2 linked regions of the Coturnix japonica genome follow. The protein of the gene in region 1 interacts with the protein of each later gene in a biochemical or structural test. Links are inferred from orthologs where the notes say so. Each region holds a gene or a part of one and is shown on either strand. Other genes may lie near its edges. The genes, in order: POU2F1 and POU2AF1.

Evidence for each region.
Region 2: the proteins of POU2F1 (region 1) and POU2AF1 are reported together in a solved structure, tested with the Homo sapiens proteins (2 studies listed by BioGRID, with this or other methods). The link is inferred for Coturnix japonica from reciprocal best matches to the Homo sapiens genes POU2F1 and POU2AF1.

The regions. Positions count from the first base shown.
Region 1 is NC_029516.1:82,220,423-82,227,542, reverse strand, and holds part of POU2F1 (POU domain, class 2, transcription factor 1), read left to right. Parts: intron 1-2,634; coding exon 2,635-2,776; intron 2,777-4,898; coding exon 4,899-5,044; intron 5,045-5,803; coding exon 5,804-5,983; intron 5,984-7,120. UniProt on the Homo sapiens protein: Transcription factor that binds to the octamer motif (5'-ATTTGCAT-3') and activates the promoters of the genes for some small nuclear RNAs (snRNA) and of genes such as those for histone H2B and immunoglobulins.
Region 2 is NC_029539.1:3,682,260-3,689,379, reverse strand, and holds part of POU2AF1 (POU domain class 2-associating factor 1), read left to right. Parts: intron 1-4,720; coding exon 4,721-4,848; intron 4,849-5,243; coding exon 5,244-5,286; intron 5,287-5,376; coding exon 5,377-5,648; intron 5,649-6,488; coding exon 6,489-6,800; 3' UTR 6,801-7,120. UniProt on the Homo sapiens protein: Transcriptional coactivator that specifically associates with either POU2F1/OCT1 or POU2F2/OCT2. It boosts the POU2F1/OCT1 mediated promoter activity and to a lesser extent, that of POU2F2/OCT2. It recognizes the POU domains of POU2F1/OCT1 and POU2F2/OCT2.

The sequences.
Region 1 (7,120 bases):
TTTGACTCTGTTACAAATTTTCTGTGGTCAGGAAAAACGATCACAGCTTGCATTTTAGTATTTGCTTTTTAGCTTAAAAATAGCAAACAGAACAAGCAATAAAATTGCATTTGATCATTCCTGTCCTGCATTAAGTGCGTATGTATATATTTATTATATTCTAAAAACGTCTACTTAATTGTGTAATTGGAGATCCCTGTTACTTCAGTTTCCTGTAGTTGGATAAGCAGACTGCCTTTTAAAGGATATAATAAATTTATTTCCAGTCACACTGAAAGTTTTTTAAAACCCAACCCACCTCTGTTTTTCAAAGATTGTTTGCGTAGCAAATGGATCACTTGCTATATTCTACTTTCTCAGTAATATAAAAGACACTGAATTTCAGCAGTGTCCTCCCCAAAAGAGTCCATAGTAGATGTGTTTATATACTGTTATCTAACTGTTTTTCTTAAAAGTGGCTCTGTCTCTGACATGCAGAGTTACAGTGAAAGTATTGCATCTTAGTCTTATTGCAGTTGTGGGGCTAATTGCTCAGGACAGATCAAAGCTATGTGAACAAACATTTTAGATTCTCTAGAGGATATTACCTCCTCTAGTCCATCTGAACTTCATAGAATCATAAAAGGGCTTGGGTTGGAAGGGACTTCAAGGGTTCCGCTGCCGCAGTCAGAGTTGCCAGCCCAGATCATATTGCCCAGGGCCCCATTCAGCCTGTCCTTACGAACACCTCTGGAGATGGGGCATTCCCAGCTTCTTTGGGTGACCTGTTCTAGCACCTCACTACTCTCTCAGTCCCCTGACATCTAATCTAAATTTCCCCTCCTGTAGTTTAAAACCATTCCCCATTGTCCTATCACTGTCTACAGACAAGCACACACAATAGTGAGGTACCTTATAATCAGTCTTATTTAATTACTGGAGTGTCATTCAGTCTACAACATAGATGAGACATGTCATTCATTCTCTGTTCCATCCAAACTTTCAGTAGCCCATCCCAGAATAAGAAATTCTTGCTCCTATTTGTAAATTCCTTTGCCTACATCTGCAGTGCTGCCCTGCCACCTTTTTGGTATTGAAAACTGCTGACAAAGAAATGGTTAACTATTCATTTTAATCATACAGTAAGTATCAGTAAGAACAACAGAGATATCAGAATTAAATTTGGTTGGGCACTGGAGCAGATTTCATAAATCTCTCTTCCAAGACATAGACCAGCTTATGGTTAAAATGGTTGACATAGCCAGGTTTTTTTCATGAACACACTAGAGCATCCAGGTTACTTCTCTTGGAATGATTTGTGAGTTTTGAAATGCACAGAATCCTGGGATATGAGTTGAGATTTCCTCAGTTTTCCTTTCCTGTTTGAAGGGCTTACAAACCAATTGTTCTGTTCCTCTTCAAAGGAGTTTGTTTTCTTCATGCAGCCTGCACAATTTACTTACCAAAGGCTTTCTACCTTGCTTGGATGTGACCACTCTGCATGCTGTTGGTTTATTTGTGTCAAGCTGTTGTTGTGGATCTGATGTAAAGGAAGGCAAGCAAGCTTTACGTGCCATCCAACTAACTCAGTCGCAATTAAACTCCACTAACTGTGCTCAAGCTCTTCAGTCTTTTCTTCCAGGCTTTTTATCTATCACCTTTTGTGTTAAATAAATAAATAAATAAAAAGATATCTAAATTAATCTAATTTTATAGCACATAGTAAGAAACAATTACATTTTCTGAAAAGACAAGGCCTTCATGCTGTGAAACAAAACTCCAAAGCATGCTGTTTATAATAACTGTGATCAAGAATGGGACTTTATCTTTTTTAAATGAGACTTTCAAAGCATGCAGTACGTGGTGGCTGCGTACGTATACTGGAGCAGAATGTCTGAAAGCTAGCTAAAACTGAGTTTTGAAAAGCAATAACGCTTAAAGAGGTGATCATCTGTCTGTTAATCTCATGGCTAGCTTTTGGCAGATGGGTATTGGTAGTGAAGACTACCGTTAATCATTATTTGAAATGATTGAGCTTCTTGCCTGCTTTGAAATGCCCATCTATGGGGAGAAGTTTGATTTGAACATCAGAAGATACTACAAGTTCAGCTATGAGTATTTCTCCATTTATTTAAATGTGACTTCAATTTGTAGACAAGCCACATTCGTCTCTTCAAGAGTGTTTTTCTGCTAATTTGAGGACATAAATTCACTGTATTTCTGCTAACTTGAAGTTTTTCTTCATTGATATGAAATATACATAGACTTAAATCTGCTCCCAGAGAGAGTTTGGCCTTTCCCTTTTTTTTTCTTTCTTTCTTTTTTATTATTATTTTTTTATTTTTTAAAGAACTATGAGAAAAATTGCAAGTTAATATGCAGTGGAATGTTCTGAGTATTGATAATGCTAAGAAGAAAAAGCATGAGGGATTTCCTGGAAAGACTTACACAGTTAAATTGACCAAGTGAAGTTTGAAAACATGACATTTCTTTGTCTTTATTCGCTTTAGTGTGAATCTTTAGTGCTGAGCAACTTTCTGTGAAACTGAATTCTGTGCAGTATAGGAGTCACTAAATACTCAAGGATGTCGACAGGATTCCTTGCTTTGGAAGTACCTATGTTAGTGAATCCCTTTTTTCTCTTTCTTTGTCCAGGGTGATGTTGGGCTCGCTATGGGCAAACTCTATGGAAATGACTTCAGCCAAACCACCATCTCTCGCTTTGAAGCCTTGAACCTCAGCTTTAAGAACATGTGCAAGTTAAAGCCGCTTCTGGAAAAGTGGCTCAATGATGCAGGTGAATGAGTCTGTGTATTTCTTCACCAGCCTACCAAAATCAGTAGGATTCTGAAAAACTTTGGAAAAAATGCTTCGTTGGTGCCCTTATGGTTTTATGAAGCCATCGATCTTGTGTTCATGGGACAAAAAAGGGTGTAGAAATAAGTGCCCCTTCTTCCCTGTTTGTGTGCCCACATATGTCTGAAATAGCTCCCCTTTGAACTTCTAGAATTTTGTTCTACAGTCAGCTGAATAATTGCATGGGGTGAGATGTAACGTGTGTCATGGTTTTCCTCCTTCATGTATGTTAATGCATATAACTTCTAATCCTCCTCTAGCTTTCTTTTTCAGATGTGTAATAAGAGAGAGTTGCATGCTTTGTTGTTTCAGTAAGCAGAGCTTATTGCATTCATCTCCTCCCACATCCCCTGTGTGCATTCTTTTCATCTCACTCCAAGAGTCCTTATGAGCACTCTCTTTCTCTCCATAGGAAGAGTTATTTGTTAGGGTTTTTGTTTTTTTTTTTTCTTTCCAGAATGATTTTTTTCCTAGGGAGAAAGTTACTCATGATGCCAGTGTTATAGCGAAAACAAAGAGAAAAAGAAAACAAAAAGCTCCAGAAAATGGAGTTTGGATGGTGGTGCTAGGTGTCAGGATAGATAATGTTAGTGCTGTCAGCTTTTTTTCTTTTGAATGTATGGTTGTACGTAGTGTAAAACTGATGGATCTGCTAAACCAATGGCACAGATGACTTGTGCCTTCCTATTGGTATCAAGATGAAGAGAGCTTTATGCTTTTACCTGCAGTATTCCCTGAAATTTTGTAATTAACTGGATTCAGTGTAGAATTTTTTTTTTTTCTTCATTGGAACAAGGAGATGTCATTCTGTTGTGCTTGCCAGGTGCAACCTTAGATAATCTGTATCTATGATAGAAAACATGAAGAACTTCACACTGACTGCTGTAGTTCTCAGGGCAGAAATCCCCTAAAAGCTGACATGAGGGAATGTCATACTTTGTTTTTCCTGCTAACCGGAAGAAATACTTGGATTTGTAAAATGAAGCTAAAGACTGTTAACGGTGCTGGGTTCCTATGCAGCCTGAAAGCTTGGAACCATAGTCTTTGGCTCTCATTCAATTTCTTGAAAATCTTTGAAAGAAAGATTCGGGTGACTATAAAGGTCATTCAGCTATTTTTGGGTAAAAGCAGGCAGCAGAAGCATATCAATGATCTATTACATTATGTTACATTGGAGTGCTAGAATTCACTGTTACAGAATTTGCTTTGTTCTGTGGGATTTTCAGGATGGTGAAGGGATCCAGCAGATTTTTGGGTAGTTACTGAAAAAAATAATAATATAATCTAGAAAATATTGTAGTGAATGTGCTTGCCCATTTGAGCCTATGAGAGTGGTGTTAAGCATTATGAACTATGCCATCTACTTATCAGGCATAAACCCCAGTGCAGAAAAGGGTCTTCAGAGTTACTCAACCATAATTGGTCATTTTGCTTGAGCTTAGTTCTGGAACCTGTTGGTTGGTTTGCACTTCCTTGTGCAGAGTGGGTTAAAAGTGCATCTTCTCTTCGCTATTCTGTGGGGCCAGAAAGGATAGGATTGGCAGTTGACAACTGGAGACCTTCTAAAGCTAAGGAGAGGGAAACTCTCCTTATGTAAAGCCTAGATGTGTAGGCTTTCTAGCAGAGCTGCATAGCACAGACTATCTGCTAGGATCTCCAAAGAGGCTTAATGCTGTGAAGGCTGGGAACTTCTTCTTCCTGTACTGTGCTGCAGAATAGGTAAAAGAAATTTCAGATCGCTCAGATTTTTTCATAGTTTGTGGCTTATTGCTGTGGGGTGTGTATATCAACTGCTGCGTTTTTTCCTTAAACTGTAGTTGTAGTCTGATAGTGTGGTTTGGAATGAGATATGGGAGAAAGAAACTTTGTATGGGTAAAATAAAAGGGGTACTCTGGTAGAATACAGGAGCAAAGACAGCACCCTCCTGGGCTTAACTCGTAGATTTTAAGTGGATTTTAGCATGCCTTGCACAGGGGAAGAGCACTTACATTATAAGTTGCACTGCATTCAGATAAAATCTCTTTATTTGTGTTAATTAATCTTTTTTTTTTTTTTTTTACAGAAAACCTCTCATCTGATTCAACTCTCTCCAGCCCAAGTGCCCTGAATTCTCCAGGGCAAGGAATCGAAGGCGTGAACCGTAGGAGGAAGAAACGCACCAGCATAGAGACCAACATACGTGTGGCCTTAGAGAAGAGTTTCCTGGAGGTCAGTGATACTGTTGTTCAGGTCAATCTATAAAGAAACGAAGAAACTTTAGTTTAATGATGCACCTGCTAGAATGAAACCATTACCGTACTATTTAGGAAGTTGCTTGTACTAATGGAGGTAAATTCAAGGACTGTTCCAAGGAGCACATGATCAGTGTCTATTTTAATTAAAAAAAAAAAAACAGCAAAAAAACCCATGCATACAACCACCCCACCAAAATCTCATTGGTTCTTACAGTTCCTTGACTCAGTGATTTTTGCAATCCAAGGTGCTGAACAGTAGCTCAAAGCTTGATGTTGTGCACACCAAAAAAAATTAAAACAGAATTACCTTTTCTGAGTATGGGTAAACGGGTAACAGTCTCAACATACATAACATTCAGTTCTTAACTACCTTTATGCAGCTGTTCTGTTCATTAACTGGAGATGTTAAAAGAAAGCTTTCCAATCAATAGCCAGAGTTCTTAGAAGGATAAACTTATACAAGTCAGATCCTTTCTCTCATAAAGACTCATGTGGGCTTTGTCTTCATCACCCATCTTTAAGGAATGTAGCTTGCCATTGGTAGAAATTCTCCTGTCACTTGGAAAATGTAGGGCAAAAGTATCTATTATGATCTGTCTCTAGAGAAAGTGCCACTGAGCAGATTCTGTGTATAAATAGCCTATCCAGATTTCTGCCTAGTGAAGGAGAGTCTATAATGTAAAGCGTATGAAGGTAGTTTCTCACTTTTCAAGTACTTGTTTCCTTTTCTCAGAACCAAAAGCCTACCTCGGAGGAGATCACCATGATAGCTGACCAGCTAAACATGGAGAAGGAGGTGATCCGCGTTTGGTTCTGTAACCGGCGCCAGAAGGAGAAAAGGATCAACCCACCCAGCAGTGGTGGAACCAGCAGCTCGCCCATCAAAGCAATTTTCCCTTGCCCAACCTCACTGGTAAGAATCAAGAATCTGTGTTGAAAAAGACCACTGGAAAAGAAAGTTCTGCTCTGCGCTCTGTGGCAATTGCACGTGCTACACCTTCTTTGTACAGCAGATTCATTCTCACAAGTGTGTCTTTTACTGGCATTTTAAATATACTTCTTGCATACTACAAAAGAGAGAGAATGCTTAAGTATCAGGCACTAATCAGGTCTTCAGGTATTTTATTTAGCCAACTCATGACTAAGTATTCTGGCTAGGGAATTTGCATTTAGGTTGTTGCTTTGGAAATATTCCAGATAGTAGCCCATGCTTGTATCTGGGTTTTCTCTTGACAAAACTGTTTTTATAATATAACAGCAATAAAAAATGCTTAGCAGTTCTACCCCTCCTGCCTTATTTGGGCTGCAGTGTTAAGTAGGTGAGCAGCAGTAAATGGTGTCATTTGGAGACTTAAGTCATGAAAGTCCGGTGTTACTGTTGTTGTCACTTTTATTCAGGAATTATTATATCAAGAAGGCATGGAACAAAGGAGGAAAATAGCTAATACTCATGTAATTAATTTCCCAAACTTGTATTTACCTCAGGTAAACACAAACTTCATGAAAATATGAGTAACAAAACACTTGCATCAAGGTTCCTTCAGCTCCTTTGCTACCAATGTCCATGGAGGTCTGTTTTCATAAATAGAAACAGTAGCTATTAGATTTCATAGTAGCTATGCTAATAGGACTGTGGTGGAATTTATGTAGCCTGTAGTTGTCTTTTTGTAGTATTTATTCCACCTCCATCATTGTAGTAGCTAATATCTTCCAGTACTTCATTAAATCATTAATTTTGGTGATGTGTCATTCTTTACCTTCATCCTTGTCTCAGGATGTGTGCATGCAACTTCTCGTTTCAGGGGAAGGGATATGTTAACTGTGCTTAGAACTTTTTTTTTTTCCCCTCTTTTTTTTCCAGTTGGAAAGCAAGGCTACATGCCTTGCTGCCAAAGCAGAACATAGTGAGGTTGGTCAAAGTGTGCAAGCGTTGTTGGACTGCAACTTAAGAATAATTTTTCTACATACGTTTCTTCTTAATTACCAATGGCCATTGTATATAAGAATTTGAAATGTTAACAACAGTATCCATTTTATCAGTGGTATTTCA
Region 2 (7,120 bases), on another chromosome or scaffold:
GCGGTGACCAGAGGCCCTCATCCTCTAGGGAGTCTCGCATGGCTGGAGATGCGCACTGTGCCGTGACCCTGCGGGAGCTTCTGTACAGGAATGGGGCCCAGAGCTTCCGCTGAGCAAAAGGCACGGCCTGAAAGCATCCCCTCCCACGGCAGGAGCAAAGTGACTGTAGGGGCTTCCCAGCTTTTGGCAGGATTCTGCTGGATGGGAGCTGGCTGCTCGGCGGGATGGGTAATTTCTATTGCGCAGCACCTTTCCTCTTACGTGTCGCTATCTGCATACGGACTCCGTGTTGTATTTTGATGACAAAATGAACATACTTCTCATGCAAATTACTTCTGTTATGAGAGGGTATGCGAGCAGGTTGCAATTCGGCAAGTGTTTCACATTGACGTGGTGTTTTTGGTGAGGTCAATAAGCTTTGGACACTCAACTCCTACTCAAGTCTTGTGGGACGGGTGCAGGTGAGGCAGGATTCCCGTGCAACAGAGAGATGTGAATCTTCCCCTTTGCAAACCTCTTCCCAAACGCTTTTTAAGCCCCTGAAGCCTTTTCTGCCCTCAGCAGATGTGGGGCTTTATACTGCCTTTCTGAAAGTATCAGATAATGAGACTGAGAGGTGAAACTGCAATATGTCACATCTTGTGAGTCTTAATTTTGGTAAAAACCCCACTGGGAAAGATGGATAGCATGAAAGTTGAGTCCATCCATGCTTTACAAAGCAGGTGTCGGGCTCTATGAATGACCACATTGTCAATTAAATGGAAAGCCTGCATTACTAAAATGGAAAGAGTATTCTGGGCTGGGAGGAATTAGGACATGCAGGGTGAGACTTATGGTTAAGCCACTTTCTGTCTATCTCAGCTTCCCCTTTGCAACGGGAGTTCTCTTATTCTGAAAGAGATAATTTTTGGCAGCCCTCACCACCACAAAGCTAATGCAGCCATCTCCCTGTGCTGTAGCAGAACTCAGTTTCTGTACAGTGCTCCTATGGCTTCCACTCCTTTACATCTCCTGGAGGTGTGGAGGAGACCTTTCCTACAAGGGCAGCATGCTGGAAGGACTCAGGCAGGGTATGATGGCACATGGATCTGCTGGAACACAAGGTTGCTTTTGTTCTTGGACATCTTCTTACTGTAGATAAACACCCATAGATGAAGGGACTGGGCATAATTGTGAAATATAGTACTATGGCAGTAATCTGTTTCACGCCATTGAGTAGTTGTCGTGCCAAGCAACTGAGCAGAAAGAGACCAAATACTGCTCTGAGTTGTTGGTAAGCAAGTGAAATAGTTAGTCTGTTGATTTAATTACACTAAGGACCCTCCCGGGTTCATTTCCTTATGCTGAGCAATGAACCATTGCTTGTCTCTTTTGCTCTTGCTCTGAGTTTTTCTGTTTATTGTACAGCAGATTCTCTGCCCAGATGTTTGCTTAGCACTTTGCATTGAACTAAATCCTCACTGAGGTACACACCCTCGGTGTGACAAGCGGTGTAGGAAATAACCTGCTCTGGTCCAGTTCTCTTAGTCAGGGTTATCTTATAAAAAGAATAGCAACACCTTACAGGAGATCTGGGATGTGTCGGAAGCACAGAGTGCCTTTAGGCTTCCAAATGGGCGCACCATGCCAACACTGTGGCCTTTGGGTGTCATTTCAAATGGAGAGACCACTGATGAGATGGCACAGTGGGCAATGACCAAAGGCAATGCGGAGAAATGCCATGTTTGGAGTTACTTTGTGGTTTATTCAGCATGTCAGTCAAAGAATGGTCTGTTGGTCATGACTCCCAGTGTCTACCAGCCAACCCGACCTGTCACTACCAACACAGCTCCCTTACAACTGTGGCCTGTCTGCTTTGATCACAACTCATTTCCAAGCAGCATCTGTTGCAAACCAATGCTACCAAAAAGGTTTGGGTTGGAGTCAAAACATCCAAGCAGTGGATCCAAAGCTACACCTCTTTTTTCCCCCCCACTACTCTTTATAATTTGTAATTCACCAAAGTTCACTGCACACCATAGCAGTGTCAGCAACTGCCCTATGGAATTTTCAAGCCCAAAGGCCAAATGTCAATGGTTTGTTAAGCAAAATGCCTTTTTTTCTTGTTATCCAAGAGGAACCGTTTGCTTTTTGGCGTTCCTGTAAAGATGAAAAAGATTTCTATTGTATTTATTTTTTATTACATTGGAAGGGAAAGAGCAAAATGTTTGCACTGGTTGCACTGATTGGTTGATAGCTTATCATACAGTATAAGCACAGGGAAAGGAAACCTTGTGAAGCGGTGGTCTTTTGCTTCTCTGCAATCTCAGCAAGCTGAATGGCTGAGCAGCCTTCAACACCTCTGTGGGCTTTTTGCTGTTGTCTGTGATGCATAGCACTGCAGGGAGTGCTGTGTTTGGTACCGCTTGGTGCTCTCTATCCACTTTGAGACATTGCTCCGAAGGGTTTGGGGTTCATGCCAGGCTTTTCTCAGCAATCAGTAAATGCACTGAGTGATAACATTGATGAAAGGAGCTTGGGTTTGTAAGGCGGCCTGACCAAAGCGTTGTAATGAGCTCAACTAAGTTTGCACGCAGAAACTATGGTCAATCCTACTGGCTGGGTCAGGTTCTCTCTCTTCTCTCCATGCTTTCAATGTTTTGTACTGCTCCAGCTTCAGCAAGCAGCCACAAATTGGGACCTAGTGCCTGGTAAGGAGGATGTACGGCTGTTGTGCTGTGCACCAAAGTACACCTGATGCTGTTCTTTATCTGTTTTGGGTTTGTTGGTGCATTGCAGCTCAGTGTAGCAGTCTTTATTGAGTACAAAGTAGGCTTGATAGTTCATTAAGGCAACCCTTAGATAGAAACGGCTGGAGAGTGCTCAATCCAGCTACATTCTGCTTAAGGTTATTGGTCATTAATTTAATGGTCATTAAAGATCCAAAAGACTTGTAAAAGATCACGTTATTTTGCTTTATGAGGAATTGCACATTGGAACCCAAGCTCGTCTTGCTCTCTTCTTTCTGCACACTTGAGCAGTGGAAAAGCAGCTGTGCTAGCATTATTTATATTTCTGGAGGTCAGCTTGGGGGGAACCGAAATATGTTGTGCAGACTTTGGTTTTATTTTTTTTTTTTTTTTTTTTTTTTTTTTTGGGTTACTCTGCTTACACCGGAAACTGTGAATAGGTATATTTGTCAGCTTTTACAGTAAATTTCTTCTCTCCCATCCCCCCAAACCTGGAGCCAGAAACTGCCATCCTTCCCCACCCAACCCTGCAGAGAGGAGCTGTGAGGGCAGCTTGCCTTGGGGATAGGGCACTGCCAGGAGGGACGTTCTGCTCCTCTTGCACCCTACAGCATGTTGGCTTTGGCTGAGCCGATGGTTTTGCTCAGCTTAAACAACAGCAACACCCAATTCTGAGACGTTCTTGGTAAGGTACCAACAATGCATCTCTTCCAAAGAAATGTCATGCAAGAGCAAAATAGTGCCTATGGGATGGGCTTCATTTCAGACCTGTCTGGTATTCAGCTCATTTTCAGAGTTGTCATTGTGAAGAGTCAATTGCAGCCCACAGCATGGTGCTCTGTGGCACTGCCTTTAGTTGTCACTTAGAGAAATGAATGCCAATTACGCTGTAAAAGCAAAGCTGCATTAAACGAAGTGACCTTCATTCCCTTTGCTAACTGCATTTCCAAAGCCACAGGAGTTATGAGAATGCAGGCAACCCGCTTTGAAGTTCCACAAGGAATGGTCAGATAGAACAAGTACACATCAGGCAAAGGCTGAGGAATCAGCTTTCCTTCACCTACTGCTCTAAAGCATGGAATTTTCCCTATATGCATAAAGGTAACAAACAAAGAGAGCAGTTCCACACATAACTGTGGTGTTATCTGCTGCCAGAAGTATTTATAATGGCCTCTCAAGATTTCGTGATTAAATGGTATGTGGTGGGGCTGAAAGAGCAAACTGTTGGCGTTTCAAAGCTGAGGGAAAATAGGGATTTCATTTTTAAAAGAAATCCAAGCAGAAAAGTCAACTCTGTCAAATATTTTTGAGGCTCTCTTGCAGTTTTAGACTCAGCTTTTCATTTCGTTCTGCAGCGCAAAGCACAGAGCGTAAATCTGAATCAACGCTTCCTACTGGGATGGTGCTTTATGCGGATGATTTGAGCTGGGTATCCAGCTGGGCTCCTTCATAAAGCCAACTGCAGTCCTCAGAAATGGAAACTTACCAACTGATATGCTCACAAATCGAAGGGCCTTCCTGAGCTTTGTTATCCCGTGGTCTCCTGCTCTAAACTGCCTCCAGTGACTGTGTATAATGCAGGGTGATAATCTCTGCTGATGAAGAACGGTTCTTCCTCTACTCTTGTTGTCTTATTATGTATCTTGCTGAGCCTGCTCCCAAAAGCCATGAGGCATATGTGTCCAATGGGCAATGGCTGCCCAAATGGGGATGTTCTTCATGTTTGCTTCTATTTGCAGCTTGCTTCTAAATAGGGACTATAACATGACCCTCTTGAATATCTCATCAACCAACCTGCAGGTTCACTCAGTCCCGTTTGCCCTTCAGGTGCTGTAAATCACTGCACTGCACACCTGTGCCACAGCAGCAACAGGAAGCAAATAGACCAAAGGGAAAGGGCATCACGTAGGAACGTTCTGCAGGAAAACAGGGGCAAGAAAAGAAAACAAACACCACCTGTCATGTGTGTTTTTTTTCCCCTATTTTTACAGCTTCTGCTTCAGAACAACAGCCGCAACCTCGCCCCTATCAAGGGGTCCGTGTCAAAGAGCCAGTGAAGGAGCTGCTGAAAAGGAAAAGGGGAAATGTCCGTAATGCCACTGCAGCAGCAGCCACGACGGTAAGAGAGATAAAGAATTGCAGGAGCAGAGCTGGGTTGGGTAGTGAAATAACTGAGCTGCCCTGGCATTGCTTGGTGCAATGAGAGAAACCTTTGTATCACTAGTGTTCAGAGGTAGCAGAACCTCTTGATACCTAGAGACACTATGATATATTTTAAATGTCATTTATAAATCAGATGTAAATGAAGACCAAGTTTTGAGCAATGTGGTGTAGTGGGAGGTGTCCCTGCCTGTAGGGTTGGATTATATGATCTTAAAGGTCCCTTCTGACCCATTCTATGAAATAAATGCATTTTTGCTTTTAAGGTACTAGGCAGCTTCAGCTGCCATTGATTTGAAAGAGATGCTGCTGCTTATGGTATTAATCCTTGGATATTTTTCTTCCCTTTCCTAGGTTGTTTTGCCCCACCAGCCGCTCCCTTCCTACTCACCAATGGGTAATGCTTCCCTGATTTTCTATGTATTTCTCAACCCTGCTGCAGGGAAAGCCATGCAGAACTGAGCTGTCATCCCCTCCTGTCTTCCAGGCCAGCCATGTATCGATGTGGATGCTGCTGCCCCTGCACTACCCAGTGCAGAGGAAGGAGCCCTCTGTTCCAGCTGGCTCTCCCAGCCCTCTCCATCATCCCTGCAGCCTTTGACTCAGTGGACCACTTACCCCGACTACGTGTCCCACGAAGCAGCCAGCTGTCCTTACACTGCAGACATGTACATTCAGCCCATGTGTCCCAGTTACACGCTGGTTGGACCTTCATCTGTGCTGACCTATGCGTCTCAGCCACTGATCACCAATTTTGCAGTAAGTCAAAGATAACTATGTATAAATGATGGCTAATCCCCACCTTCCAGTAAGCATCAATGGGGAGTGCAGGATATAACTCATATAATTTAACAGCAATAACACAGTCAGTTCAGCTTACTGTTGTCATTGGTTCCAATTGGACGAGGGGTTCTTTGTCTTAGATTTGCAATAGCTGAGAAAGCTGTGGTTCTGAATGGGTTTACTCTATGGTCCCTATACACTGTTGTCAAGTCAAGGACTTAGAATCATAGAATGGCTCAGGTTGGAGGGGACCTCAAAGGTCACCCAGTTCCAACCCTCTGCCATGGGCAGGGCTGTCACCCATCAGTTCAGGCTGCCCAGGACCCCATCCCACCTGGCCCTGAGTGCCTGCAGATCTGGCAGTCCTCATGAGATTCTTCACTATTTAATTCCAAATATTTGGAAAAGAAAGAAAAAAAAGCAAAAAGTGAAGAAGGGAATTCTAGGAAATACCTACTGGACGTGCCAGGAAAATGGCTTGGTAAAAAAAAAATGCTGCCAAAGAAGGCAGCATTCAGTATAAAGTGAAGCTGTCTCATGGCCTTGCAGTGAGGGTGGGAGTGGGAACAGAAAGCTGAAGGGAACTAACTCATCATGAGCTCAAGCTACTGCCCGCGAGCACCTGGGACACCCACAGCCACCGCTCTCATGGGAGCCAGCGTGGGAAAACTGCCACCCTGGGTGTAAATCTTCCCCAGAGAGACAGGAAAAGGGATGTTCAAAGTGAGACTGAGCATCCTTCCCCTCATTTTGTGTCCCACACCCCACCCAATGGCCAATGGTTTGATTCTATTAAATGCCTCTCCTTCCCACCAGCCCCGAAGCAGCACCCCGGCCGTGGTGCCTCAACTGGAGGTGACGGAGCAGCAGCCACCCCTCACTTACTTCCCATGGGCACAGCCGCTCTCAGCATTGCCTGCCCCAACCCTGCAGTACCAACCAGCCTCTTCCACGCTTCCCACACCGCAGTTTGTGCCCCTGCCCATCTCCATCCCTGAGCCGGCCCCGCAGGAGCTGGAGGATGCCCGGAGAGTCATCGGCACGCTGCCCATAGAGAAGCTGCTTCTAGAAGATGAAGACAATGATACGTATGTGTTAAACCACGCTCTCTCTGTTGAAGGGCTTTAAGTTGTTCATCTTGGATCCAGTCCTCGTGTACTCAGTGCTCCAAGTGGAATCACAACAAGCATTGAGTACAGAGGAAATCTGGCCCAGGGGGTGAGGGCAGTGAGTTGACTTGAAGGTTTTATTGTCCACTTCCAGCGCAGCGTGGCTGAGTGCTGAGTGAAACTTGCTTTGTCCTGGGGCCCAGCACCCAAAGTCTGTGTTGTTACAGCCCCAGCACAAGGTGACTTTCATCTCACAGCCTGAAATGGGCAAACCACAGCATAGCCATGGCCAGTGTATGGTGAGGGTGCCCTCGCCTCTTAAGTGTTGGCATGACCTTT